6 linked regions of the Ovis aries genome follow. The main gene of each other region encodes a partner of the protein of the gene in region 2 in a complex. Links are inferred from orthologs where the notes say so. Each region holds a gene or a part of one and is shown on either strand. Other genes may lie near its edges.

What was found.
Region 1: the proteins of GABARAP (region 2) and TP53INP2 are in contact, whole or in part, in a crystal structure (PDB 8T31), measured with the Homo sapiens proteins. The link is inferred for Ovis aries from reciprocal best matches to the Homo sapiens genes GABARAP and TP53INP2. Residues at the interface, in NP_009209.1 of Homo sapiens: Tyr5, Glu17, Ile21, Tyr25, Arg28, Pro30, Val31, Ile32, Lys46, Lys48, Tyr49, Leu50, Val51, Pro52, Asp54, Leu55, Gln59, Leu63, Arg67, Phe104; in NP_001316358.1 of Homo sapiens: Glu31, Val32, Asp33, Gly34, Trp35, Leu36, Ile37, Ile38, Asp39, Leu40, Pro41.
Region 3: the proteins of GABARAP (region 2) and WDFY3 are in contact, whole or in part, in a crystal structure (PDB 3WIM), measured with the Homo sapiens proteins. The link is inferred for Ovis aries from reciprocal best matches to the Homo sapiens genes GABARAP and WDFY3. Residues at the interface, in NP_009209.1 of Homo sapiens: Glu17, Ile21, Lys24, Tyr25, Arg28, Pro30, Lys46, Lys48, Tyr49, Leu50, Val51, Pro52, Asp54, Leu55, Leu63, Lys66, Arg67, Phe104; in NP_055806.2 of Homo sapiens: Glu3342, Lys3343, Asp3344, Gly3345, Phe3346, Ile3347, Phe3348, Val3349, Asn3350, Tyr3351, Ser3352.
Region 4: the proteins of GABARAP (region 2) and CALR are in contact, whole or in part, in a crystal structure (PDB 3DOW), measured with the Homo sapiens proteins. The link is inferred for Ovis aries from reciprocal best matches to the Homo sapiens genes GABARAP and CALR. Residues at the interface, in NP_009209.1 of Homo sapiens: Glu17, Ile21, Tyr25, Arg28, Pro30, Val31, Ile32, Lys48, Tyr49, Leu50, Val51, Pro52, Leu55, Phe60, Leu63, Ile64, Arg67, Phe104; in NP_004334.1 of Homo sapiens: Asp199, Trp200, Asp201, Phe202, Leu203, Pro204, Pro205.
Region 5: the proteins of GABARAP (region 2) and KBTBD6 are in contact, whole or in part, in a crystal structure (PDB 4XC2), measured with the Homo sapiens proteins. The link is inferred for Ovis aries from reciprocal best matches to the Homo sapiens genes GABARAP and KBTBD6. Residues at the interface, in NP_009209.1 of Homo sapiens: Tyr5, Glu8, His9, Glu17, Ile21, Tyr25, Arg28, Pro30, Val31, Ile32, Leu44, Asp45, Lys46, Lys47, Lys48, Tyr49, Leu50, Val51, Pro52, Leu55, Leu63, Arg67, Phe104; in NP_690867.3 of Homo sapiens: Ser663, Asp664, Asp665, Asp666, Phe667, Trp668, Val669, Arg670, Val671, Ala672, Pro673.
Region 6: the proteins of GABARAP (region 2) and STX17 are in contact, whole or in part, in a crystal structure (PDB 7BV4), measured with the Homo sapiens proteins. The link is inferred for Ovis aries from reciprocal best matches to the Homo sapiens genes GABARAP and STX17. Residues at the interface, in NP_009209.1 of Homo sapiens: Tyr5, His9, Lys13, Glu17, Lys20, Ile21, Arg28, Pro30, Lys46, Lys47, Lys48, Tyr49, Leu50, Pro52, Leu55, Gln59, Phe60, Phe62, Leu63, Lys66, Arg67, Phe104; in NP_060389.2 of Homo sapiens: Ala169, Glu170, Ser171, Trp172, Glu173, Thr174, Leu175, Glu176, Asp178, Leu179, Glu181, Leu182.

What each region holds. Positions count from the first base shown.
Region 1 is NC_056066.1:64,038,365-64,042,612, reverse strand, and holds the start of TP53INP2 (tumor protein p53-inducible nuclear protein 2), read right to left. Parts: upstream 2,801-4,248; 5' UTR 2,601-2,800; intron 1,593-2,600; 5' UTR 1,483-1,592; intron 1-1,482. UniProt on the Homo sapiens protein: Dual regulator of transcription and autophagy. Positively regulates autophagy and is required for autophagosome formation and processing.
Region 2 is NC_056064.1:26,843,818-26,847,717, forward strand, and holds GABARAP (gamma-aminobutyric acid receptor-associated protein), read right to left. Parts: upstream 2,530-3,900; 5' UTR 2,399-2,529; coding exon 2,309-2,398; intron 1,771-2,308; coding exon 1,692-1,770; intron 1,554-1,691; coding exon 1,435-1,553; intron 993-1,434; coding exon 927-992; 3' UTR 501-926; downstream 1-500. UniProt on the Homo sapiens protein: Ubiquitin-like modifier that plays a role in intracellular transport of GABA(A) receptors and its interaction with the cytoskeleton.
Region 3 is NC_056059.1:100,207,953-100,211,452, forward strand, and holds part of WDFY3 (WD repeat and FYVE domain-containing protein 3), read right to left. Parts: intron 3,237-3,500; coding exon 3,089-3,236; intron 1,853-3,088; coding exon 1,698-1,852; intron 811-1,697; coding exon 652-810; intron 1-651. UniProt on the Homo sapiens protein: Required for selective macroautophagy (aggrephagy). Acts as an adapter protein by linking specific proteins destined for degradation to the core autophagic machinery members, such as the ATG5-ATG12-ATG16L E3-like ligase, SQSTM1 and LC3.
Region 4 is NC_056058.1:10,923,591-10,927,664, forward strand, and holds the start of CALR (calreticulin), read right to left. Parts: upstream 2,801-4,074; 5' UTR 2,730-2,800; coding exon 2,639-2,729; intron 2,271-2,638; coding exon 2,169-2,270; intron 2,009-2,168; coding exon 1,805-2,008; intron 1,352-1,804; coding exon 1,257-1,351; intron 1,167-1,256; coding exon 957-1,166; intron 875-956; coding exon 761-874; intron 681-760; coding exon 537-680; intron 1-536. UniProt on the Homo sapiens protein: Calcium-binding chaperone that promotes folding, oligomeric assembly and quality control in the endoplasmic reticulum (ER) via the calreticulin/calnexin cycle.
Region 5 is NC_056063.1:11,708,823-11,713,016, forward strand, and holds the start of KBTBD6 (kelch repeat and BTB domain-containing protein 6), read right to left. Parts: upstream 2,801-4,194; 5' UTR 2,509-2,800; coding exon 382-2,508; 3' UTR 1-381. UniProt on the Homo sapiens protein: As part of the CUL3(KBTBD6/7) E3 ubiquitin ligase complex functions as a substrate adapter for the RAC1 guanine exchange factor (GEF) TIAM1, mediating its 'Lys-48' ubiquitination and proteasomal degradation.
Region 6 is NC_056055.1:47,866,964-47,870,463, forward strand, and holds part of STX17 (syntaxin-17), read right to left. Parts: intron 1,191-3,500; coding exon 1,104-1,190; intron 363-1,103; coding exon 123-362; 3' UTR 1-122. UniProt on the Homo sapiens protein: SNAREs, soluble N-ethylmaleimide-sensitive factor-attachment protein receptors, are essential proteins for fusion of cellular membranes.

The sequences.
Region 1 (4,248 bases), on a different chromosome or scaffold from region 2:
AACAGTTTTGCTACTCAGCTACTTGTCACCTTCCTCTAAGGATGTTTCCACACTTTCTATAAAGCTCCCTGGGGATACAGTCACAATTCCATTCCCTGGAGGCATTCTACTCTTATTGCAAACCCACCTGGGGTATTTCTATGGTTGTTGCACATCTTCCAATCCCTGGGTATATTTTTCACACTTGCCACAGAATCACCTAAGCTCTACACCCTGAGAGTATGTATACATTTGCAGACCCCACAGTGGGCTCCAGAAGGAAGTGGTGCCTGGGTGTTGGCCTCCCTGGTGGTAGATTTTCAGGGATTATGAAAGGCTGGGTCACCCTCAATCAGTGCCCGCCCAGCACAAGCCACATATCCCAGCCCATTTGTAGCCACAGGGAGTTAGTGACTCAGTTACCAAAAATTCAGAGAGTTTGACCCCTCCTGAAGGAAGGGAAAGACTGGGGCCTTGATGAGGCACACCCTGTTTCCAAGGACCTACTGCTTCATCGAGAAAATGGAAAGAAAGTGAACAGGTGTTTCAGAAACCATGGGGAGACGGGGGGAGTCAGACAGGAGTCAGATTTTGATCAAGTCACTGCCCCTCTCAGGGGGCCCTCTGTCCCTCTATAAAAGGGTCTGAGGTTCCTGGCACGGAGATTCATCCTGCATTTACCAGAGCATCCACTGTGTACCAGAGTCTGCTCCAGGCCTCTTCAAATTACAAACCGATTGAGGTAAGGAAGGCTTAGGGCTGGGAAAGCTCCCTGCCCGAGGTCACACAGCAAGTCAGTGACAGAGCCAGAAGTGACAGCCTCACCAGCCAGCCAGTGCCCGCCTCCTCTCATGACCACAGAGGGAGGCTCCCAGAATTTTTCTTTCCCAGCCCTGCCAACTTCCTGGTTCTCACATTCCCAGTTCTGCTCCTGGGAGAACCATTCCCTTTAATAACTGCAACAGCTGTGCCCGGAATAACACTTGATCCCCAAGCCACCTCTACCCCAGCCCATCTGTGAGCAGAGTCTAGGCTGAGATAGGACTCTTGGTCCAATCCATAGGCCCATCTATTTGGAAAGTCAGAGGCTCTCCTGCTCAGTGTCTGATGCTTCTCTGTGAGCAGAGAGGGGAGCACACGCTTTGTAATCATCAGCACTAGTCCAGGTCAATCATTTCTAGCTGGCAGCTCTGAGGGTGCAAGATGAAAGTGATAGTTGCTCAGTTGTGTCCAACTCTTTGTGATCCCATGGACTGTAGCCTGCCAGGCTCCTCTGTCCATGGAATTCTCCAGACAAGAATACTGGAGTGGGTTGTCATTTCCTTCTCCAATGGATCTTCCCGACCCCAGGGATCGAACTCTGGTCTCCTGCATTGCAGACAGATTCCTTACCATCTGAGCCACCAGGGTGGGAGGTGAAGGACAGCCAAACAGAGGGAACTCTCATCTCCACCCCATCCCAACACTGGCCCGGGAGACACTCTGATGCAGCCATTGACTCACCTTTCTGTGGCCAAAACAGCTGGGAGGCAGTGATTTTACTGGGTTCCAGAACTCTGAGGTACAGAATGAGGATGGGGGCCTCAAAAGGGGACCCAGTCTCCAGAGACCTCCTGGAAAAAGATCCAGGAGTGAGGAAACCTGGGAGCATTATCAAATTTGGATGGGGCTTAGCCCAAGTGGTTGGATGGCATCACCGACTCATAAGTTTGAGTTGGCGATGGACAGGGAGGCCTGGCGTGCTGCAGTCCATGGGGTTGCAGAGTCCCACACGACTGAGCGACTGAACTGAACTAACCCTAAGTAGAGTCTTAGGTGCAAGGAGGATGTGTAACTTGTTATTTGTAATAAGCTTCTACTAGGTATGTGCCAGTGGCTAATGCAGCCGCCACTCACGAGGGAGGCATGACTCTAACTAGCTGCACGACCTCGAGTAAGCCACCTCCCCTCTCAGGGCCTCGGTTTCTCCTTCCATGAAATGGGCTCTAAGACCCCTCGTTCGGGGGCTGGGAATGACGTCAGCTAAGGCGCTGCACACAGGTCAGGGATTAGGAGAATGTTATTATGTTAGTCCCAGGGGCGCAGAGCCTGGAGCCAGAGGAGATTGCACCACCACTTGGCGCTGCCCCAGCGATCTAGAGTTCAAGCTTCAGGGGCTCCTGAACTTCTGACAACCCCCTCCACCTATCTAGACCCAGTAGCGCCTTCGGAACCTCTCTCAAGTCTCTTCGAACCTCTCTCAGGTGTCAAGGACAAAGTAGATCAGAGGTTTGACCTCAGCTCCTGGGTTAGCCCAGGAAACAAGAGGGCCCTCTGGTCCCGCTGCCTTCAGCGTCCCTCACTCTTGGGCCCAGTTCCGACCCAGCGCCCAACGGGTCACCGGAGGACAAGCGACCCGAGTCGGGAGGGGGTGGGGGGGGCGGTGCCGGCCTTGGTGACGTCTCAAAGTCATATGCAAATAGAGAGACGTCACGGTCTACCAGGCGGGGGCAGCCAATCCGGAGCCCAGAATGCAGCCCCAGCAGCCGCCCGCTGAGACTGACAAAGACCCGGGAACTGGGGGCGCGGGGCGTGTCCCGAGGCTCCAGGAGCCCCCCAGGCCAAAGCCGGTGGGAACTCACCTGGGGACTGGGGGCAGTGCGGCGGGCCCAGGTGGCGCTGAGGTAGTTGTGAGGCGGAGCGTCCCGGGATCGGCGGCGGATCACAGGCCCGGCAGCATCGCGGGGGCTGGGTTGGGAGCGAGTCCGGCGCTCAGAGTGACTGCGCTCGCGCGCCGGGCTTTGAGTCTACAGCCGCGGCTGCTGGACTCACCGCACAAATTGGAACGTTCAAACAGCTGATTGTGACGTCACAAAGGGGCCCGCCCGCCTCGCGTCACCGCCCGGCCAAGCGGCGGCCAATCCCAGGCTGCGGATCCCCCCTCCCCGCCTCCTCCGCGGCTAGCCGGCTAGTGGCTCCCTCGCGGGGATCCCAGACTCCCAGGCTAGGGAAGAAGAGGCCTGGAGAAACAACTGCTGGAAGCTTGGACCGCCCTGCCTCTGGGCGACCCACGGACCTCTCTAAGAGGGGGGTTCCCACTCGTTCCTACGAGACCCCCATCTTTCTGCACACCCTCCGCATCTGTCAGCTCCCTCACCTCTCCCGCCGCCTCTCTTGTCCTTTCACCTGCATCTTACACTCAAGTCCCTCAGTCTGTACAGTTTTCTCAACTCCACACCACGTTCGTGCACCCCAGCCTCCCCACCACCCGTCTCCCGGCTCTGCCTTTTCTGTCTCCCTTTCTTAGCCGTACACGCTCGCTGCTTTCCCACTCCTTTTTTTTCCTCTGCTGGGCAAGCCTAACAGGTGGGAGACAACCCTCTTCCCTGGTTCCAGGGGATCGCAGGAAGTATAGACGAGTTAGTTAGGCTGACAGGAAAATTTTGCCAGTAGAACTTGGAGAGGAATTGCTTTGGGCTAAATAAACATTGACCTAGAGAGTACTCTGCACTGGAACGTTTACACATCTTGTGCGTGTGTGTGCTCAATCGTGTCCGACTCTTTTGTGACCCCCATGGGCTGTGGCCTGCCAGGCTCCTCTGTCCATGGGATTTCCCAGGCAAGAATACTGGAGTGGGTTGCCATTTCCTTCTCCAGGGGATCTTCCGGATGGAACTTGACTCTCCTGCACTGGCAGGCAGATTCTTTACCCCTGGCTACCTGGGAAGCCCTTACACACCTAATTTAATCCATATTGCTACTGGGGCTGGACAGAAAAATGAGAGACAGGGATTGATTGATTATTAGAGTGGGACCCAACTGGGTGACTAACCACCACCACCACCACACAGGGAAACAGATCTCATGGTTAGTATATAGATTCATACTCAGTAATGCATTCAACAGCAACTATTGCTGCTGCTAGACCATTAGCTGACATTTCTGAGCACTTACTGAGTGCCAGGCATTGTGCCATACTGCTGTATATGTGTTTTTATTCTTCACAACAACCGAAATGGTGTGTGTTATCCCCATTTTCAAGTTGAGGAATCAGGGTCACACAGTTATAGTAAATGGCAAAGCCAGGATTTGAACACATAGTTCCTGGCTCCAACACTCTCCGCTCTCTACAAGCACCAGATAATCAAAGCCCGAGGGTGCTTCAGCCTCCCCCAGGAAACCTGGGCTTCATCCTTTCCCCAAACTTGCTGTGTGACCTCAAGCAAGTCATGTCATCTCTCTGGGCCTCAATTTTCGTATCTATCGAAACATCCAAGTTACCTTTTAGAG
Region 2 (3,900 bases):
TTCCGGCCAGTTAGAGAAAGGCTGCTGGGAGATGAAGTTCTCCTGGTGATAATGGCTCCCTCCTCCCAGTTTTCTCCCTCCCTTGGATTCCACTCCACTGGATCCCTCACGCCGGGCAAAGCGACATACATCTGACAACGGAGCCCTTTCACTAGCTCCCATACTCGAAAATCTCTTCCTTAATCCAGAAAGTTACGACACAGTTGGATGTTTTATCTGAAGAAGGTGCTTTCAAACTTTATCCACAGGAACCCACTGTAAAAAACTTTAATAACCTCAGGACCCAACCCATATACACGTATATAAAACTGAACTTTCATGAAATGATATTCAGTATTCCATCCCTCATAACAAAAGCACACTCTTAATATACACAAGGAAAAGCCGAACATAAGCAGAACAAACCAAAATATACTATTCCCTCTAACCTACTCTTTTCCCACCACTTGAAGAGAACAAAAGGGGGAGGGGAACAACACAAAGAAAAAATCCAGTTCAGCTTGGTGGTGGTTTCCTCTTTATTGATGTGCCTCCTACCTTCCCCCACAATTTCAGTCCCTTCCATCTACCCCCCAAAAAGAAGGTAGTGAAAAGAAAGGATTGTTGGGGCTCTGAGCCCCTTGGGCAGTTAGAAAGGGAACAGAAACCAAAACAATCACCAGATGTGACAGAGATTGACAATCAAGAAATCTAAAGCAGAATGGGAAAGGTGGTAAAGAAAGGGGAAGAAAGAAAGGAGAGGTATTAGAGGCCATCTCCCCCATTAACCCTTGTGTTAAGAGGGTCTGTAGGAGAGTCTCAAACATTAGGAAGTGCAGGTCCTGAAGAAGGGAGGTGGTGTTTGAACCTCAAGGAGGAGTAGGTCAAGGAAGGGGGGCCACCTCTCTCTTTGTAGAATGGGACCCCCCACCTTAGGGGCAGCAGCTTCACAGACCGTAGACACTTTCATCACTGTAGGCAATGTATAGAAAGAAGTCTTCTTCATGGTGTTCCTGGGATGAAGACAGAAAACAACAGCGTTCAGGCATCAGAGTTTTAGTTACTTGAACCACCCACCACTGGGACATATTCTTCCACAACCATTCTTTTTGAAGACCCCAAACACCAGTGCTTTGACTCTCCCTCTCACTTGCTCCAGACCATAAGTGCTGGGCAGTATTATCCTATCCACAGTCTTGGACAATAAGATCTCAAACTACTCTCTACTGCCTTGGAACACGGAATGGCTGGAGGGGAGTCTGGACCACAGCGGTTACTCTGGTTCACTGCCCTGTCCAAATCCCTAACCCAGAACGATGCGGAAATCTTAAGGGTGAATATAAAATTGAGAGCTAAGTAAGCCAGCTGGTCCAAGAACTGCTGACTTCAAACTTTCTGCCTCTCAAGCGCTTCCAACTCCTCCCCAAAGCCTCCTCTACTTCCCAGGCACCATACCTGGTACAGCTGACCCATCGTGGCACTGGTGGGCGGAATGACGTTGTTGACGAAGAAAAACAAGGCATCCTCTGCTCGGAGATGAATTCGCTTCCGGATTAAGAAGTAGAACTGGCCAACTGCCAAGATACAAGGCTTAATAAAAGTCAGAGATCACAAATACCCTCAAAAGAACACCTGCTATGTGGAGTCTCCTCCATCAGAGACTGTACTCCCACCCCCAGGAAACAAATCTGAGTACTGGGTCAGGTTCCCACCTGTAAGATCAGAAGGCACCAGGTATTTCTTTTTGTCCAGGTCTCCTATTCGAGCTTTAGGAGCCTTTTCTACTATCACCTGTTAAAAAGAAGATAAAAATTAGCAGACACTAGGTACACAGACGCACAGCTCCACCTGTCAAGAATTCAACATTCCTAGCACCCACACGTACCCCAGACTCATTTCTCTTTGTCTCTTAACACGCGGCGCAGCCCTGAATAGGAATTCTGACCCCATTGACTCTAATTCACCTAAACATCCAGGATCCCTGAATACGGCGTCATAAAAACAATTACGTTAATCAGACGAGGATGACTTATTCGGGCCAACCAGAGCTTCAATTTCAAAAACCTTATGGGAAGCTCAGACTGTCAAACGCCCCGCAGCCTCCCACGGGAACCCCAAGGTCTGTCTCTCGAGTCTACATCTTCTCACTTTCAGCTCTACTGGTACCCCATTCCTTTCACCTCCGGTCCCAGAAACAGCGGGTTGGGGCTCGTTCCCAACGCCGCCACAACCGGCAGCCTGATGCCTGCGCTGTGGGTCCCGGACTCAAGCCCAGGCTGTGGCGTCAGCGCCAGCGCCCCGCGCCCTCGGCCCTGGCTACTGTCCTCACCGGGACCCGGTCCGGGTATTTCTTTCGGATCTTTTCGCCCTCAGAGCGGCGCTTCTCGAACGGATGCTCCTCTTTATACACGAACTTCATCCTCCCGGGAACCGGGCTGGACCGGGCTGGGCTGAGGGAACCCGGGGGGGGCCGGGACGGGGGGCGGCGGCGACGGCAGCGACGCGCGGGCGGATTCAGCGGAGCGATCCCCGGACTTGCGCCACTTCCCTATTCACCAACCCCGCCCCCAGCCAACAGGGGCCTCCCAGGCTGCTATGTTACGCCACTGACGTAACTGCCCTAACGCCAGTAGCGTAGCACCACCTACTGACCTCCTCTCTCACGCCCTCAGCGTAATCGCTTTGGAATCAATTTGTAAATTACGCAGGCGGCGTAGAAAAGATGGTTGCCTTTTGCTATCGTCGGAAATAACTGAAAATCCATTTCCCGACTTTCCCCACAGGGAGGTAACGATGATAAGGGCTAAAAGATGGTAATCGTAATTTGAGACTTGGCTCTCCGAAAGCTCTTTTCGGAAGTAATGCAGAGGAAAGGCAGATAATTAAAGGATAGCTATTCACGAAATCTGTTGGTACGCTGAAGGCGGCCGTTGACACCAAAACAAAGTAGTACCCAAGTGGAGGAAGAGGTCGCTGGAAATAAGAGGGCAGAAACGAAACCTGTTTGGAGAGACGCACTGGACGCTTAAGTTCCAATAATGAGTGGACCAATAGGGACTGGAGAGGAGGTCTAAAAGGTAAGGACTACGTCAGCGCGGAAGAACACCGCTGCTGTGTCCGCGAAAATCATGTGATCTCAAAGGGCGGAGCGTCACGTGGCAGGCGCGAGGAAGTAGAGCCGGCTTGGGCTTTGGGAGGAGGGCCCCGGGGAGGTGGGGACGTGGGGCCGGGTCAGCCAGGGGGCTGGGGAGCCCGCCGCTCGAAGGAAGCGCCTGCCTAGCTAGTACATGCCAGTCTTCCAGACGAAGCCCAGCCTTTCTTGTCGTCGAGGTTTCTACTCCTTTAATACTTCGTCCTACTGCACTGAAGCTCAGGTTCTCTCAGGACACACAGCTGTCTCTTCACTCCCCACCAGGGTGCCCATCCTGTCACTAAGACCCTTCCTGCCAGGGAAAGCCAACACTATCCTTCCCCCTACACTTAGGGTCTACAGCAGGCTCTTCTCTCTCTGCCTAGTGAACAGGGTGGATATGAACAAAAACCCCTCCCTCGTTTCCCCAAACCCCAGAGAAGGACCTAGGGCAGCTTTGGTTTCAAAGTTATAATGCATGGTTTAAAAGAGAGGAAAGGAAAAAAGAGAAAGCTGGTTACAGATCTGAGGGAATCTAGGAGGAAGGGCAAATAGAGGGAAAGTAAAGGAGGGGACAAGTTTGGGGGAAGTCCAGTGGCCCAAAATCCCAGTTTCCCACCCACAGCCCAGCCCTTGGAGTGAAGAATTAGATCAGTTTTGTACAAGAGTTTTTAAAAAATCAAATCACAACAAAGCTGGCTTGGCTTCTCTTTTGAGCCTCCCGGATTACCGAATGTCTGTCTCACTCTGGCCAGTTGTGTCTCTCCACCAGACACTGTTGCGGCTCTCCT
Region 3 (3,500 bases), on a different chromosome or scaffold from region 2:
ATGTGTTATAACAGAAAACACCTAGATGTAAACTCCATTAAAAAGAAACTTACAGTAAATTCACTTATAAATCAAATATTAAAAAGGTGATGGCTTCATGATAAAAGAATTCTTGTTTTGATTAAACATTTATGATAGAGTCACCTCATAACAAGTGATCAAAAATACTTGTTAATAACATCACCAATGGTTTTTCTGAATACATTTCATGAATTTGCCATGTTCTTAAGAATATTATAAATGAAGAAACAGAAAACCAAAAATCAACGACTTAATGGTATAGATGAATGAAAAGCATCCAGAAAAGAAGTTATTCTGAATCAATTGCAAATATAACTGGTTTGCAAGAATTTAACCTACATATAACTCTGAGAAACATTGACATTACTTAAATATATTTTTTAAAAAACTACATCACCTAAAGATATCTTGCTTCAGATTTTATAAAAGGACAGCTTGGATCATCTTCAGAAATAGTATCCTCTGATTTTTCATTTACTTTTTTTAAGATCCATTTCTAGCAAAAGAACATACATTTTTTTGGTCTTGTCCATTAATGTGTAAATTGCCTTGGAATTAAGGAAGTTACTCAGTTTCTCTAGAGCACGAGCGGGTGGGCTGGAATAGGTCCACCATCTCACGTTCTGTTACCTGTTTGAGAGTGAGAGTCTTAGCCTTTTCTTTCGAGGCACTCATCTCCCAAACACACACGACCGTGCTTGTTCCACCCGTGATGACCAGCTTGGGGTTGGGGCAGATCGCACAGAGAATCTGGCCCCACTCCGACAAACATTCATAAACAGTCACTGCCTGTAAAATAGAAGAGATGTGAGACACACATGCCATCAAGCACTACAAGCTTCTGAGACACGACGAGCATACGAAATGAAAGAGAACCTCTTTTTGGGTCCCTTCTGGGCAAATACCTGCTGGGCTGGTTCCCTAAAGCTCTACTCTGAACTACACCCTACAGCCTCCTAACTATAGATGCTGTTGAAAATCATAAGAAGCACTTTGTTCATATTGGGGGTCTCCAGTTTCTCCAGTCAGGGAAAAAGATGTTTAGATTGTGCGATGGAAAATGACGTTCAGGTTGTGTGATGCTGTGTGAGATGCAGGGGGTGATCTGGTGAAAGGATGCATCCGCTGTAGCAGGCAGAATGTAAAAGGAACCCATGAGTGCTGCTCTTCATGACAATGTGACTAAACAAAACTGTGTTACAGACACAGACTGTGTCCCTCATGCATTCAGGAGAGGACTGTCAAGGGGCAAATACGACCCCAAAGCATCACTTATGTATTGCCTCTCCAAGAGATGCTAATGGGACTCAAAATGGTAGCCGCAACTGCTTCTTAGGGGAAGGGTGACAGGTTTTCTGCCACCGAAATGGTAAGTGGGACAGTGACTCAAAGGGAGGCTCTTCTGGTTGGCAGAAATATTGAACACCTGGTTGGCTAGGGCCCCCTGGAGGAGGTCCTGGAGTGGAAGGCAAACTGCTAGGTCCTGGTACACAACCTTCCAGGAGAGGCTTTTCTGCAGGAAATGGGACTCGTCCACTAGCTCCTCTATCCTGATCGGATGCAGTGAAGCTCTCCCTTCCTCTGGGCTGGGGAGGAGCAGCGGAGAAGCCCTTGGCTTGAGCTATCCCCACCCCCATGAGGCAGGATGACATAAGAGAGCAAGCAACATTGCAAACCTTGTCTGACTCATAGGTCCCCAGCCTGCAGCTGAGGTCTGCGTAGCCCCAAGCGAAAGTCTTGTTCCAGGTTGGCGGGATAAGAACCTTATTCTGTTCTACCGCAAGAATGCCTTTGTCTGTACACACGATTTGTCCCACAGGCTCTTTGAGTTCTACAAAAAATAAATCAACATGTTAGAACCAGTACAGGGAAGACTAACCTCCTTATCCCACAGAGGAGGGCAGAGAGTGTTAGTTGTGTCTGACTCTTGTGACCCCAGGAACTACAGCCCACCAGGCTCCTCTGTTCATGGGATTCTCCAGGCAAGAATATTGGAGTGGGAAGCCATTTCCTCCTCCAGGGGATCTTTCCAACCCAGGGACTGAACTGGCATCTCTTGCATCTCCTGCCTTGGTGGACAGATTCTTCACCACTAAGGCTACCTGGGAATCCCACAGGGGAGAGTAAAGGGATTTCAAATATTCATACAAATCAAGTATCTTCACACCCACATTAATACAAAATGACCTGAGAAGGAAGTAGGGTGTGGCTTTCGATGGAGTCTTCTGCAGACCAACTGGGCAGATATCGACCTTGACTGGTGTCTCTAGCCTGCCTGGCTATGGACACTTGCTTGGGTTTGGCTCCCAGCCACCAGGCCCACCTTTTGATCCCGAGGACTTCCAGAGTGTTCTGGGATGCTCCCCAGAAAGCCACACAGACCTCCAAATGACCTAGGCCTTCAGCCCCTCCCAGCCCTAGACTTCCTGAAGGAAGGCCAAGAACCCCAGCTCTGACCCAGGACTCTGTTGACCATGCCAGTGCTCCAGAGCCATCTCTGGGCAGTGGCTGGAGCTGGCACAGGGCAGAGTCTGTGGAATGAGACAGGCGGCAGAGAGCTGGGCACCCATCCAGAGTTTGATGCTCCAGTTTTTGGATTTAAGTGACAACTTTAAGACTCTGCAAAACAATTTTTTTTTTTTTATTCAAAGGGGAAAAAAATCTACTTGGAAAAGTAATTTAAAATAACTTACAATAACAGTAGATGAAAGAAGCTTTTAAAGCTGGCGTGTTAAAAATACAAGTCTTCTTACTGCTATTTCTAAATTGGCAGAACATGTGTAAATGAAGATGGCAGAAGTTTTTCTACAAGTTGAATTATAAGATTTGGTATCCTAGTTTTCAGTACCCTAGCAGAGAGGAGAAACCTGTTGGGTTTCTTTCGGATGCAAAATCCAACAGGCAGAAAGAAGAGAAGAGAAAAGGAAAAGGAGACTCTGTATTTGATGGTTTAAGCACTTACTACAAATGACACTGTTGCTGAGAAGCAAATTTGTTATTGCTTAACTAGGATTATTAAAGAGTCCCACAGAATCATCCATCAAAAGCCCATTCCCTGTCATTTTACCTTTTACAGGTGTTAGCGAAGGCCTCAGGTTGTCTAGATGATGAAAAAAGATCTTGTCACTGGCAGACCCTGGAGGGACGGAGGCCCCCGCATTGTCTCCATTGAGTCGACTCCTCACTCGCTTGGGTGGATGAGGTTTTTTAAATAACTGGTAAGAGAGAAGACAACACATTTTATAACAAAAGCTAACATCAACCCTTTTATTTGCCAGATATTTTGTTGCTATTTCACTTAAGCTTCACAACAGCCATTAGGTATCACATTATCACATTTTATACTTGACGAAAGAGATTTAAAGAGGCTCAGAAGGTTGCCATCTGAGATCTCATACCTCAGTAAGTGGGGACAAGACTCTGATACTAAAGCTTGGGTTACCATCAAGCTCTATGCTACACTGATTTCATGATAATTT
Region 4 (4,074 bases), on a different chromosome or scaffold from region 2:
TCACATAACCACTACACAATACTACAGTCTAACATTGCAGTTGAAAAATAGGCTGCCTAGATTCAAACCTCAGCTCTGCCATTTACTATATATGATCTTGAGCTGGTGACTTCATCTCTTTGCACCTCAGTATCTTCATCTATAAAATGAGATCTCATTCTCTTCTTCAAACTATCTTTCCTAGTACAGTCTATGTGCCAAGCAGCATACTAGATGCAGAAAGTACATTGACAAACAGGACAAAAATTCGGCCCTTGTGAAGCTAAGTTCTAATGGGGTTATCTACCTGCCTTTCTAGGCTGCTGGATGCAATTGAGTTACTTCCCACAAAAATACTTGAAAATAGTACCTGGAACATATTAAGTACAAGCCAAAGCAGGTGCTGTTAAGACCCCGTAATGACAAACCAGGAATTTCTTAAAAGAAAGGGGGGGGGCACCATTTTGGAGTCTGCCCGCCCTTGTCCCCTTTTCTCCTGGGTTGACCCTGAGCACCTGAGGTCCCCTAGGGAGCCGCCTCTTCCCTCCATGTCTCACCTGCCAAAGATCCAAGCCTAGAACAGCAAAGTTTTCATAGGCGTAGATGTTGCTATCAGGGGAATACTCAGGGTTGTCAATCTCTGGATGGATCCAAACGCCCTTGTACTCTGGGTTGTCGATCTGCCTGGGCTTCCACTCCCCCTGCAGAAGTAAACTGACGGGTGAGCGAAGATCACTGCCTTCCCCATTGTGCACCACCCTCCTCAGAGTGCCAGACTCACCTTGTACTCTGGGTTCTGAATAACAGGTGGTTCCCACTCTCCGTCCATCTCTTCATCCCAGTCCTCAGGTTTCTTAGCATCAGGGTCAGGAATGTGCTCAGGCTTGTCCCAATCCTGAGGATACATTAGGAGGTCAGAATAGGAGCAGCTGTCCTCCACACGCTCCATGGTGGGGAGCCCCTGCCCAAGCACCAACCTCAGGCTTGGAGTCTGTGGGGTCATCGATCTTGGCACGATCATCCCAGTCTTCAGGCTTAGCGGCATCAGGATCCTTTATCTTCTTGGGGGGCAAGAAATCCCAGTCGTCCTCCAAGGAGCCTGACTCCACCTGGCTGTTATCAATCTTCACCTCATACGTATTATCAGGCCGCACAATCAGCGTGTACAGGTGGGTGAATTCATCGTCCTAAAGAGAATGAAAGATGAGTGGCCCCGCCCACCAGCCTGGGCTCAAAGCCTCCCCTCACAGCCATTTGTGACCACCCCCAAGGCACACCTTGCAGCGAATATCCTTGTTGATCAGCACATTCTTGCCCTTGTAGTTGAAGATGACATGAACCTTCTTGGTGCCGGGTCCACAGATGTCTGGGCCTTGGTGAGAAGCAGATCTTGGTCAGAACTACAGTCTGTCCACCATTACAAGCCCCTGCCCACCCCATTACAAAAAGACAACTTGGTTCTTAAACTCAGGACTGTCAAGCTGAAAAAACAAAATTCAGACCTTCTCTCTAAGGAACTGGGGGAGGACACTTAAAAAAAAACAAACCACACATCAGTACTCCAGAACTCACAATCTTCACTTGCACAACTAGGAACAAGGAAATGCCTATATAGTAAAACTGCACGAATTAGTGTGAAGTCGATGATAAAAATGCAGTAAGTGGTTCCTAACTATTCCCTCACCTTCCCTATGAAAGAAATGCCTAAAGCATGTAAGTGTTTTCTATGCTCTCAAGACCACCGTTCATGGGCGATAAAGAACTCCCCGGGTTTCAAACTCCCTCTAAGTGACCAGAAATCAGCACCAGGGTGGAGTCCCCTTACCAAACATGATGTTGTATTCGGAGTCCCCGTGCATGTCTGTCTGATCCAAACCAGCTGGAAACAGCTTCACATAGCCGCCCCCACAGTCGATGTTCTGCTCGTGTTTCACCGTGAACTGCACCACCAGCGTCTGACCCTTGTTGCTGAAAGGCTCAAATCTCGCCGACAGTGCGTAGAACCGGGCATCCTGGCTAGTCTGCAGGCCTACCGAGAGACTATAATCAGATCAGGGCTCAGCACCAACCCCCCGGGGAACCCTAAGGATGTAAAATACACACCAGTCCTCCTTCCTTCACCTCCCCTACTTCTAGGGATACCCAAACTCTGTCCTCCTGGATCTGAATACCCACTCCTAAGTTCTTACCTTTATCTTTCTCCTGGTCACCATAGAACTTGCCGGAACTGAGAACGAATTTGCCAAAATCCGGTTTGTGTTTGGATTCGATCCAGCGCTCGGTCCACCCGTCTAGAGGATCAAAGAGGCAGGTAAGCGCGGCGGTGCTGATCAACTCCCCACCAAACATCTACCAGGAGCCACAAACTGCTGGGAGCAAGGAAGGAGATTCCCCCCTCCCCCCAGACCGTCCCCACCCCAACCTCTAGTTTGACATCTCTGGTGACTTAAAAGATCCTCGGGCAAACCCTAACTCCCGCTTCGGAAAGCCGCTGCTCCCTCCACGCTCCCCAGGGACGCCGAAGGAAGGCTCGCCTTCGGCTCCAGTCCCTGAAGGAAACCGTGTTGGCCCTCTGAGCAGTAATTACAAGCGACACGCAGATATGGGCCGGAGGGCCAGCCGCGTCGTTAGGACGATCTCGAGCGGGACTAGCCGTTACCTCCGTCCAGAAACTGCTCCTTGAAGTAAACGGTGGGATCAGCGGCGGCCAGGCCGAGAAGGCCGAGCAGCAGCGGCACGGGTAGCAGCATGGCGGGCCGAGGGGGCGGTGGCGCGCGGGCCCTTTAAGTCACTCGTCCGGCAGCAGCTCTGCAGTGGGGACGGACGCCGCCGCCGGCCGTGCCCTTTTATACCCCGCCTGCTCTCAAACCAGCCTGGTCCGGCCTCTTGGTCCGCCTTCCTCACTTTATCATTGGTCTGTGGCCATAGCCCTGCCTTTCCATTGGACCCTTCTAGGCTCAGCATGTTAGGCTGTGCCTCGGAACGCTGGGTTCCCAGATGGCCGATTTCTATTGGCCGCACCACTGGCCAATGAAGGTCGACCACGCGTTGTGGGGGACGCCCACCGGTGAAGTCGGGGGGGCCTCGAGCCCCTCAGTCCAGGTCATGTGACCAGACCTCGGCCCAGCCCCGCCCTCCCTTGCGCGCGGCGTTCGGGATCTAGGCGTTTAAAGAACACGCGCGAGCTGTGGTGCTGCGTGAAGCTAGGGTCCGGCTCCATTCTAGACTCCACTCAAGGGTTGAGTGGGCAAGGTTTTCCTAGCGTCTTTCTACTCTGAGTTTGGGGAACCCCACCATTCCCACCTTGTCTTTCTCTTCCTTCCCACTCCTCTTCCCGTCCTCCACCCGCCTCCCTGCCCCCCCCCCCCCCCCCCCCCCCCGCCTTCCTCCCCAACCCCGCCTTCTCCCTCCCACACCTCCCTCCCCCGGGATGGGGCAGAGGGCACCGAGCCCTGGGGCTTCACTTCCTCCCAGCGCCGGAGCCCTGCAGGCCTGGGGGAAGAGTGCCTGTTCTCAGTACGGTCCCCGTAGTGACCTGGCAGCCTGTCAGACTGCTTCTGTGTGAGCTGGGGCAAGTCATTCAGCCTCTTTGAAATCACAGGATCTCTTGAAAGGCCAGGAGGAGCGACCCCGGCCAGCTGCTGTCCGGCGGAAATGCTTTTCAAGCTTTTAGGGATTTTCTGGGACAGAGGGAAGGACCCTGACGGCTCAAAAGATGTGACGACAGGTTGTGTTCCTCTCTTTGCAGCCTGTCCTTTACCTCCCTCCCATCCCCGCCCCCCAGCCGGTAAATGAAAGGGGTCGCCGCCTTGTGGTCTCCCGCAAACGGCCTGGTTTTGCAATTAAACGGCTGAATATGAGCGGGCAGGGGGTTCCGTTGGGGAGGAGAAAAAAAAAGAGGCAGATGGTGAGGAAGATAAGGTCCAAGAGAGGTGGGCAGGACCCCTGAGACTAGAGCCTTCTGAGGCCACAGGCACATGACTGGCAGTGACTGACACCAGCCCCATACCCCTAGGCTGCAGGAAGGAGGAAGGAGAACGGGGACTTTCCCAAACTGAGCAAATAGGCTCTGGACTTGGGAAGTAGGAATAAACT
Region 5 (4,194 bases), on a different chromosome or scaffold from region 2:
ATTCCTATCCAATCAGTTTTTTAGTGTAGAAATTAAAATTCAAGTTGAAACACTTGTGGCACAAGACAATGTAAGATTTAATCATAGAAGACTACTGATTACAATTAACTTATATTGTCAAACATAAACATACCAAACAAATCCACACTGGACTTTTAGAACAGTAAATTATTAAACAGGTTGATTTCTTTTAAAGATGTTTAAATTCTGTGATATTATATTAGTATTTCAAACAATACCCTTTCTAAGCCAAACTTGAAATTAATCAACTTTTTTTTTTTCCTTCCAGCAAAGAGAAAGGGTATCTCTTTAAGATACTTTCCAAAGCAGTAAAAATACCTTAGTGTTTCAATTTATCTGTAACACACTCTGCTGTGCATTTCACTGAGGGGCTACCTGAACCCACAAATCATCATCAGATAAAGAGCTTGAGCTCCCTGATTCAGAATCCAACTCACTGAACCCACCTAAATCCCACTCAGTGCTGGATTCACTAGGTACTTCTTCCTCCTCAGTGAGAAAACTCTGACCGGGTTCAAGACAGGAAGGATAAACGCGAGCTGAGAGGCAAAAAAAGTTAGAATCGAACTGGAACAGGCCTAATGTGGTACCTATATTAATCCACTGGTCACCCCTAACATCGTATTCATACACGGTCACCCGGTTCTTCTTCCACTGCGGGGTGCGGGAGGTGATCAGCAACAGTTTTTGGCCATGATTGATAATCCGGTAGTTGTTAGTCTCCGACACCAAGGGGATGTTATTAATCTGCCTCCACTCTCCTCTGACTGGATTGTACACCTTCATGACAGGGATGTCGCAGATGCAATAGATCTCATCGTTGAAGACACAGGCTTCCTGAAAATCATTGCGCTTCAGAGAAACACACTTCAGCCACATATTGTGGCTGGGATCAAAGCAGAACATGCGCTTACTGTTGAGAGCGTACAGATAGTTCTGAATGACCATCAGGTCAAAGGAAATAAAGGAATGGGGCAGCGGAGCCACCAGCGCCCACTGGTTTCTCTGGACACTGTAGCACTCCACCTCCTTCAGTTTAATGCCGGTAATGGGGTCCCGACCACCCAGGATGTAGATGTAGCCATTGAGGTATGCCACGTCCATGCCCTCCCGGCAGAGCAGGCGGTCAGCAAGCTGCTGCCAACTATTCTGGGCTGGTTTATACACCCAGAGATCCTTCCTGGGCTGGGCGGCCAGATAGATGTCATGGTCTGGAGAGACACAGACAGCTAAGGTGGTCACAGTCCTAGTGTGAGCAAGGCAGGTCAGAGGTGATGGCACTTTGTAAATGTCCCCCGAGTATGGGTCACAGCACAGAAAGGGATCTCTGGGATGGCCAAAGAAGATCACCATCTTCTTGGCATACACACCTAGCCTCTGAGGTGGATGATCAGCCATGGGCACAACGGAGCTGCTGCTTCCGCCGCCAAGAACAACGTTAACGACGCTGCTGCTGCCACCGCCACCACCACCTCCACCACCACCACCACCACAAGCAACGCAGCTAACAACGCCACTGCCACTGCTGCCACCACTGCTCTCTGGCTTGGGCACCAGAGACTTGCACAATGTGTCACCATACCGCATCTGCCGGGCCCCTTCAATGAGGTCCAGACAGTACTTCTTCACCACGGTGTTGGTCAGCAGCTCTTCCAGGTAGCCCCGATCTTCGTCAGTGAAGTGGGTCCAGCGGACACACTTGAAGACTTCTGCAGCGCTGGGACCCCGCTCCTTGGGAGCCGCCTCCAACCACTGCACCGCCACATGACACACGGTCTGCTCGTGCTCGATGTTGAGACTGTCCAGGCGCAGGACGGTCAGCAGCTGGGCCAGGGTCAGATCTGCCAGGGACTCTTCGCGAATTGGACTCATCTGGCTGAGATGCTTGAAGTTGTGGGCTATAAAGGACTGGGCCTGTGATCGCAGCTTGCGATGGCCGAAGGCATCAGCAAACTTGAAGATGGCTGTGCAGTTGGCCAGGTCAAGGCGGCGGGCTAGGAAGGAGGCACAGGCTTCCCGCACGTACTCCAGCTGCAGCATGTCGGAGGCTGCATAAAGGCGCTCCACGTTCGATTCACTCAGGGACACGCGACCGGTGTAGCAGTAATCGACCAGGACCTCGAAGGACTCGGCGTCCACGTCGTGCATGGTCACGTTCGTCTGATGGCTCTCGTACATGCCGCCGGTGAACATGCTCTTGAAGTAGGGACACGCGGCCGCCAGCACGTTTCGGTTGCAGGGGAAGAGGCGGCCCGTGCCGGGCCCGCTGCCGGGGGTGACCACCTCGATGGTCACATCGCAGAGAAGCCGCGCATCGTAGAAGGACTTGAGCTGGGCCAGCAGAGCTGCAGAATGGCCCGTGTCCTTCAGCTCCTCCGGGCCAGTGAAAAAAGCCGAAACCGTGGGTTTGTGAACCCTTTTGGGGCGCTTCCCGCCGCGGGGACTGGCGAGGCGGCGAGAGCGCGAAGCTTCTTCCCGGGACTGCATGATGGAGAGAGCGGCGGAGAGCGAAAGATGAGAACGGGTGCAAGGACCAGGTTCTGGCGCCTCCTCACCCTCTTCTCGCTGACGCTAAGACCGCGGTGTCTCCGGAGAGACTGCAGCACTGGTCCATTTATTTAAGTCAGCCCTCTGCCGCGGTGCCGCCTCCCTCGATCGCGTAGACCGCGTCCCACTCACCGGGTTCCAGTTCCACGCCCTTTCTCCGCCTCAGCTCGCCCTCAGAGGACCTACTGGCTGGAAGCGAGCGATCCGCCACCTCCGCGCCGGCACCACCACTAGGCATCCAGGAGAACTACGGCTCCCAGATTGCCTTTCGCGCCTCGAGGCATGCCGGGACCCCGCGGACTCTGCGGCACAGGCTGCGGCACCTGCTGCGGCACAGGTTGCGGCACGGAAACCGCTTTGCATATCGGGAGTAGTAGTAGCTTCAATAGCATCGCGAGATTTGTTGCCCGTTCATTGTTTCGGACGACGGAGTTCGAAATGGTTAATTCTATTCCGTTCGGCTTTATGGTTTCGAACTTTGGGTTTGGAATTCAGACTAAATGCCAGTTGTTGTATTTATCAGTTGTCTGGCTTCTGTCAGAGCTGCCGCTTGTTTTTTAAAAACGTTAATGGCAGTGGTACTTCATAGCATTGTATGACGATCGAACTAAATTGCGTAGATGATACACGCATAAATCGCGTAGGTGATATACGCATTAAATCGCGTAGGTTGGCTCTCCTTGCTTTAAATAAATATTTGTTGATTAGCAGAGTAATGTACTTATACGCAGTACCCATGATATAAAGGCTTAATGAGTTTTAGCTTTTCTTCTAGCGTTCATGAAGAATGAAGCACCCTCTCATTTGAGACCATGAGCCTGTGGGGAAATTTGAAAAACCCTACAGGTTTCTGCAGAGATACCTTTTAAGTTTTTTTGTTTTTGCATTTAACAAATAGATTTTTAAGACCAGTCTTAGGTTTACTAGAAAATCCAATAGAAAGCTGCAGAAAGCTCTCATATACTCCACCCCCTCTCAGTTTCACCTGTTTACAACATCTTGCATTAGTGTATGCCCTTGTTAAAAAGTTATGAACTTACAGTTATCTATCATTAATTAAAACATGTAGTTTATATTAGGATTTACTCTGTGTTGTACAGGCATGTCATGTATCTATATAACATGTATGTCGTGTACATGTATGTATGATGTACATGTATGTCATAAATGTATGTCATGTACCTATCATGACAATAATACACAGAACAGTTTCACAATCTTAAAAAATCCTCTGTTCAACCTATTTATGCCTCCCTCTCCTTGCCTCCCAGCCCTTCAGAACCATTAATTTTCTTATTGTCTGGTTCTACCTTTTCCAGAATATCATGCAGTTGGAATATACATTCTTTCACTTGGCAATATTCAATTCAGATTAATAAAGCTTTCTATTGAATTTTCTAATAAACTTTAAAATCTGATTTTAAAATCTATTTATTAAAAAAAAAAAACCCAAAGCTTAAACCTGCAGGGTTTTTCAAATGTCTTTTCATGGCTTGATAGTTATTTCTTTTCATTGAATAATATTTCATTGTATACCAGTTTACTTATCCATTCACCTACTAAATGGCATTTTGTGTGCTTTGAATTTTTTCAGTTGTGAATAAAACTGCTATAAACACTCGTGCT
Region 6 (3,500 bases), on a different chromosome or scaffold from region 2:
TTGAGCATCTACAGCCACTACTGGGATATAATCATGTTCTGAAAGCTGACTGGGTGTCCAACAGCAGCGAAGCTCGTCATTAGGATAGACATGTTGGCACCAATAATACCGAAGTTTGGTTTTTAACTACATTTTTTGTCAGTTTGGCTGGGGAGATCTGGACAGCTGGAAGTGAGCTTCTCCATCATTTTCTGTTTCCTTCTTTGTATCAATTTTCCACCTGTGAAGCCCAACACCCCACCACCAAGTGCAGCTGCAATTCCTGCCACTTTGAAGCCTGCAAGGAGGCCAATCGGACCCCCTACCACTCCTCCGATGAGTGCACCTGCCACAGGCAGAGCTGCCAGCTTGTATTTTGCAGCCTGTAAAAAAAAAAAAAAATTCAATTTAGAAATTGAGTTGAGAATATCTCCCTGTGGTGATATGCATTTTCCTCTCATTACTCCTGGCAATGCCTCTTTAACTCGTGGTACATAATTAACCTTAGAGATTGTTCTGGGGTTGGGGGAGGGGAGAAAGTATTCCACAGGTACTCTAATTGCTCCAGATCTCAGAACTTAGAGAAATGAGCTACAAAGAGTGGACTGCTACAGATTGATTTTACTTGCAAAACAGTCAATTCACTAACTATCTAGCTAGCTTATTTAAACAGTTTCAGTAGCCACAGATACTCCCAAAGCTTTTATGTTGCACACAGATTACTCCATGCTATGTACCTGGGGTTAAAAGCCACGTTCTATGGGAAATAGATGGACCCACACATGTGTGCTGTCACGTCCCTAAACTTTGGCCCCTACTGGATTCTGACAACCCTCTCTACTCCTCTCCTGGACCCCTGAAAATATTATTTTGTAACACCAAGTGCCATATAGCAGGGCTCCAGTTTACTCTCTCTCTGAAAAAATGTCTCTCCCAACAGAAGGAATCTTAGAGTAGAATATTACAACAACCATTGATTTCCTGCACTACCTATGTGTCATTTCTTCCTTATTTTCTTAATTGCTGGTTCCCTCAACATTAAAGAGAACAGATCAATTGGGTTAATACTAGGGATTCCTGAGAGCCAGAGTACCATTGATTTGTCAGCAGGAGCAGAATCTTACCTTCCCCAAGTTTTTGGTTCCCTCTTCAACATTCACAGCAGCACTGTTGACATGGTCTTCAATGCTGTCAATCTTCTCCTGCTGAGACTAGATGCAAAGGAATTATGAGTGAACGTTCCTGCTGGGGAGCAGCAGTCAGCCAATACACACTACTTTAATTCCTGTAATCAGAGCCCTGGGTACTGCAGCCTTGCAGTCTTAATAGCGGTTCATTAATAGCATCTGATAAACCATGTTGAAAGTACAAATTCACTTGTATGAAAAAAAGAGGGTGACTTAATTATTAGACAAGAAAAGGGTGGCACCTTTATAGGACAAAGCATCTCACACTAAAATGCATTCTAACATGCAAACATATTATTCTCCAAATGAATCTACTTTCCAGGAGGAAAAACATCCAAATAAGCATTTACGTGTCATGTGAGGTTTGATGGAAAAAAAAAAATCAAACCAAAAGCCTTTCTAACTTATCTTCTTTGAAGATTCAGTTTAAAACAGACAAATCTGTCTCAGGAGTTAAATGCCCTTGATCCAATAAACACAAGTTATTATGTTTTAGGAGTAAAAATATAATATGGTTTGACCTGCCATAAAATTGTTCCATTTGTGATATGCACAAGGGAGCAGTGAACGAACTTACTGTCCCATGTTTTACACCTGTACACTTCAGTACATTTAAAAATCATGACAAATTAAAATGTTTCAGATCAAACATATTAATAAAGCCTTCTACATAAAATGGCAAAATCTGTGCTGACACAACAGAAACACGGAATCTCTGGGTGGAAGTGCAACTTTCCCCTCAGCTATGTGAAACCCCACTATACCACTTCTGATAAGTGGCCACTGAATCTCAGCTCAAACATCTCCAGTGACAAGAACTCACTACCTGACAGAGGAACATATTCCCATTTTTAGAAAACTATATTTATATGGAATTTACATATAATATACAACCAATTCTTAGGGCATATCCTTTGATTAGTTCTCGCACATGTATAAACCCATGTAAGCATCAACCCATGTTGATGTAAACATCAACATATAGACTATTTACTTTTGAGGGGTTTTTTTAATTCACAGATAATAGAAGAGAATCCCTCTTCAACCCCAACTAAATGCCAAACTAGACTCCATTCAGAGCTCAATCTGGACCCTATTTGTCCACTGTGATCTTGGCTCTTTATGCTGGGCCAAACTATACATACACAACTTTATTCTACTACAGGACACCAAGCCCCGAACAACAAAGCCTCCTCACCCCTATCTACCAACCTTCCCTTTTTCTTCTGATTTACTTATGTTTGCTTTCATTGACCTAGGCCTCGCAAATCTGACAACCATCAACTTAACACTGGCACCTCATATTGTTCTCAGCATCCCTTTAACAATTATTTAAACTATTTATGAGGCTCACTGTAGTTTTCTCAAACTAGAGTAATGAATAGACTTTCCTTTTTAAAGGAAAACAATTCTCCAAAGAATCTAAGAATATGTTTATGGATTTAACAATGACTTAGGTTTCCTTACCTGCCTGAAAAAAATAACAGAATCTTAATAAGCAGTTATAAGACCACCTAAGATTCTGGGGGGAAATGTGATTTATTAAGTTAATATTTGTCAAGCAGAATGCAATTTGGGCATTTGAAGTCAAAACTATGAAGAACTGTTTTCCCCTTGTTGGTAGTTGTACAGTTTTATTAATGTGCCTGGAAAGTACAGGTTTAAGAAACTAATGCCAAAATTCCAGATATGTTCCTTTATTCTTCTCTCTCTAAATTCCAGCCAGCCTTCAACGCCAGCTTTAGTCTTAGATCCCAACCAACTAAGCTATCTTCGTTCTGAGCTCCAAAGATAGATAATATGAATATACTAAACTTAATTATATGCACTCATATACACAGAAAAGCCCAGAAACAAGCACATAAACACTATGATACACAGGCAGAGTCTACTGGCCTAGAGTAGGCAATAAGCAGGGTGGGTAAGTATGGTGTTGACATTAAGGGATTCCAGTAATAGGAAAGCGACTATAGGAACTACAGTACTAAAATGTCTAAAGGTATTGGTGGTGGCAAAAGTGGAATTCTAAGCAAAGAGTGAATCAAACAGGGAGGGACAAAGGCAAGAATGCAGTGGGTCGGGGTGGGGAATGGTGTGTGTGTGTCAGTCGCTGAGTTGTGTCCTACTCTTTGCGACCCATGAACTATAGCCTGCCAGGTTCCTCTGTCCATGGAATTCTCCAGGCAAGAACACTGGAGTGGATTGGCATTTCCTACTCCAAGGGTAGGGAAGGGAGTGAGAAATAAGACAATATCTCATGGAGTCCTCCCATCAATTTACAAAGCTAAGTGTTGTTAACATTCTGAAGGTCACATAAATAATAAATGGAAGAAT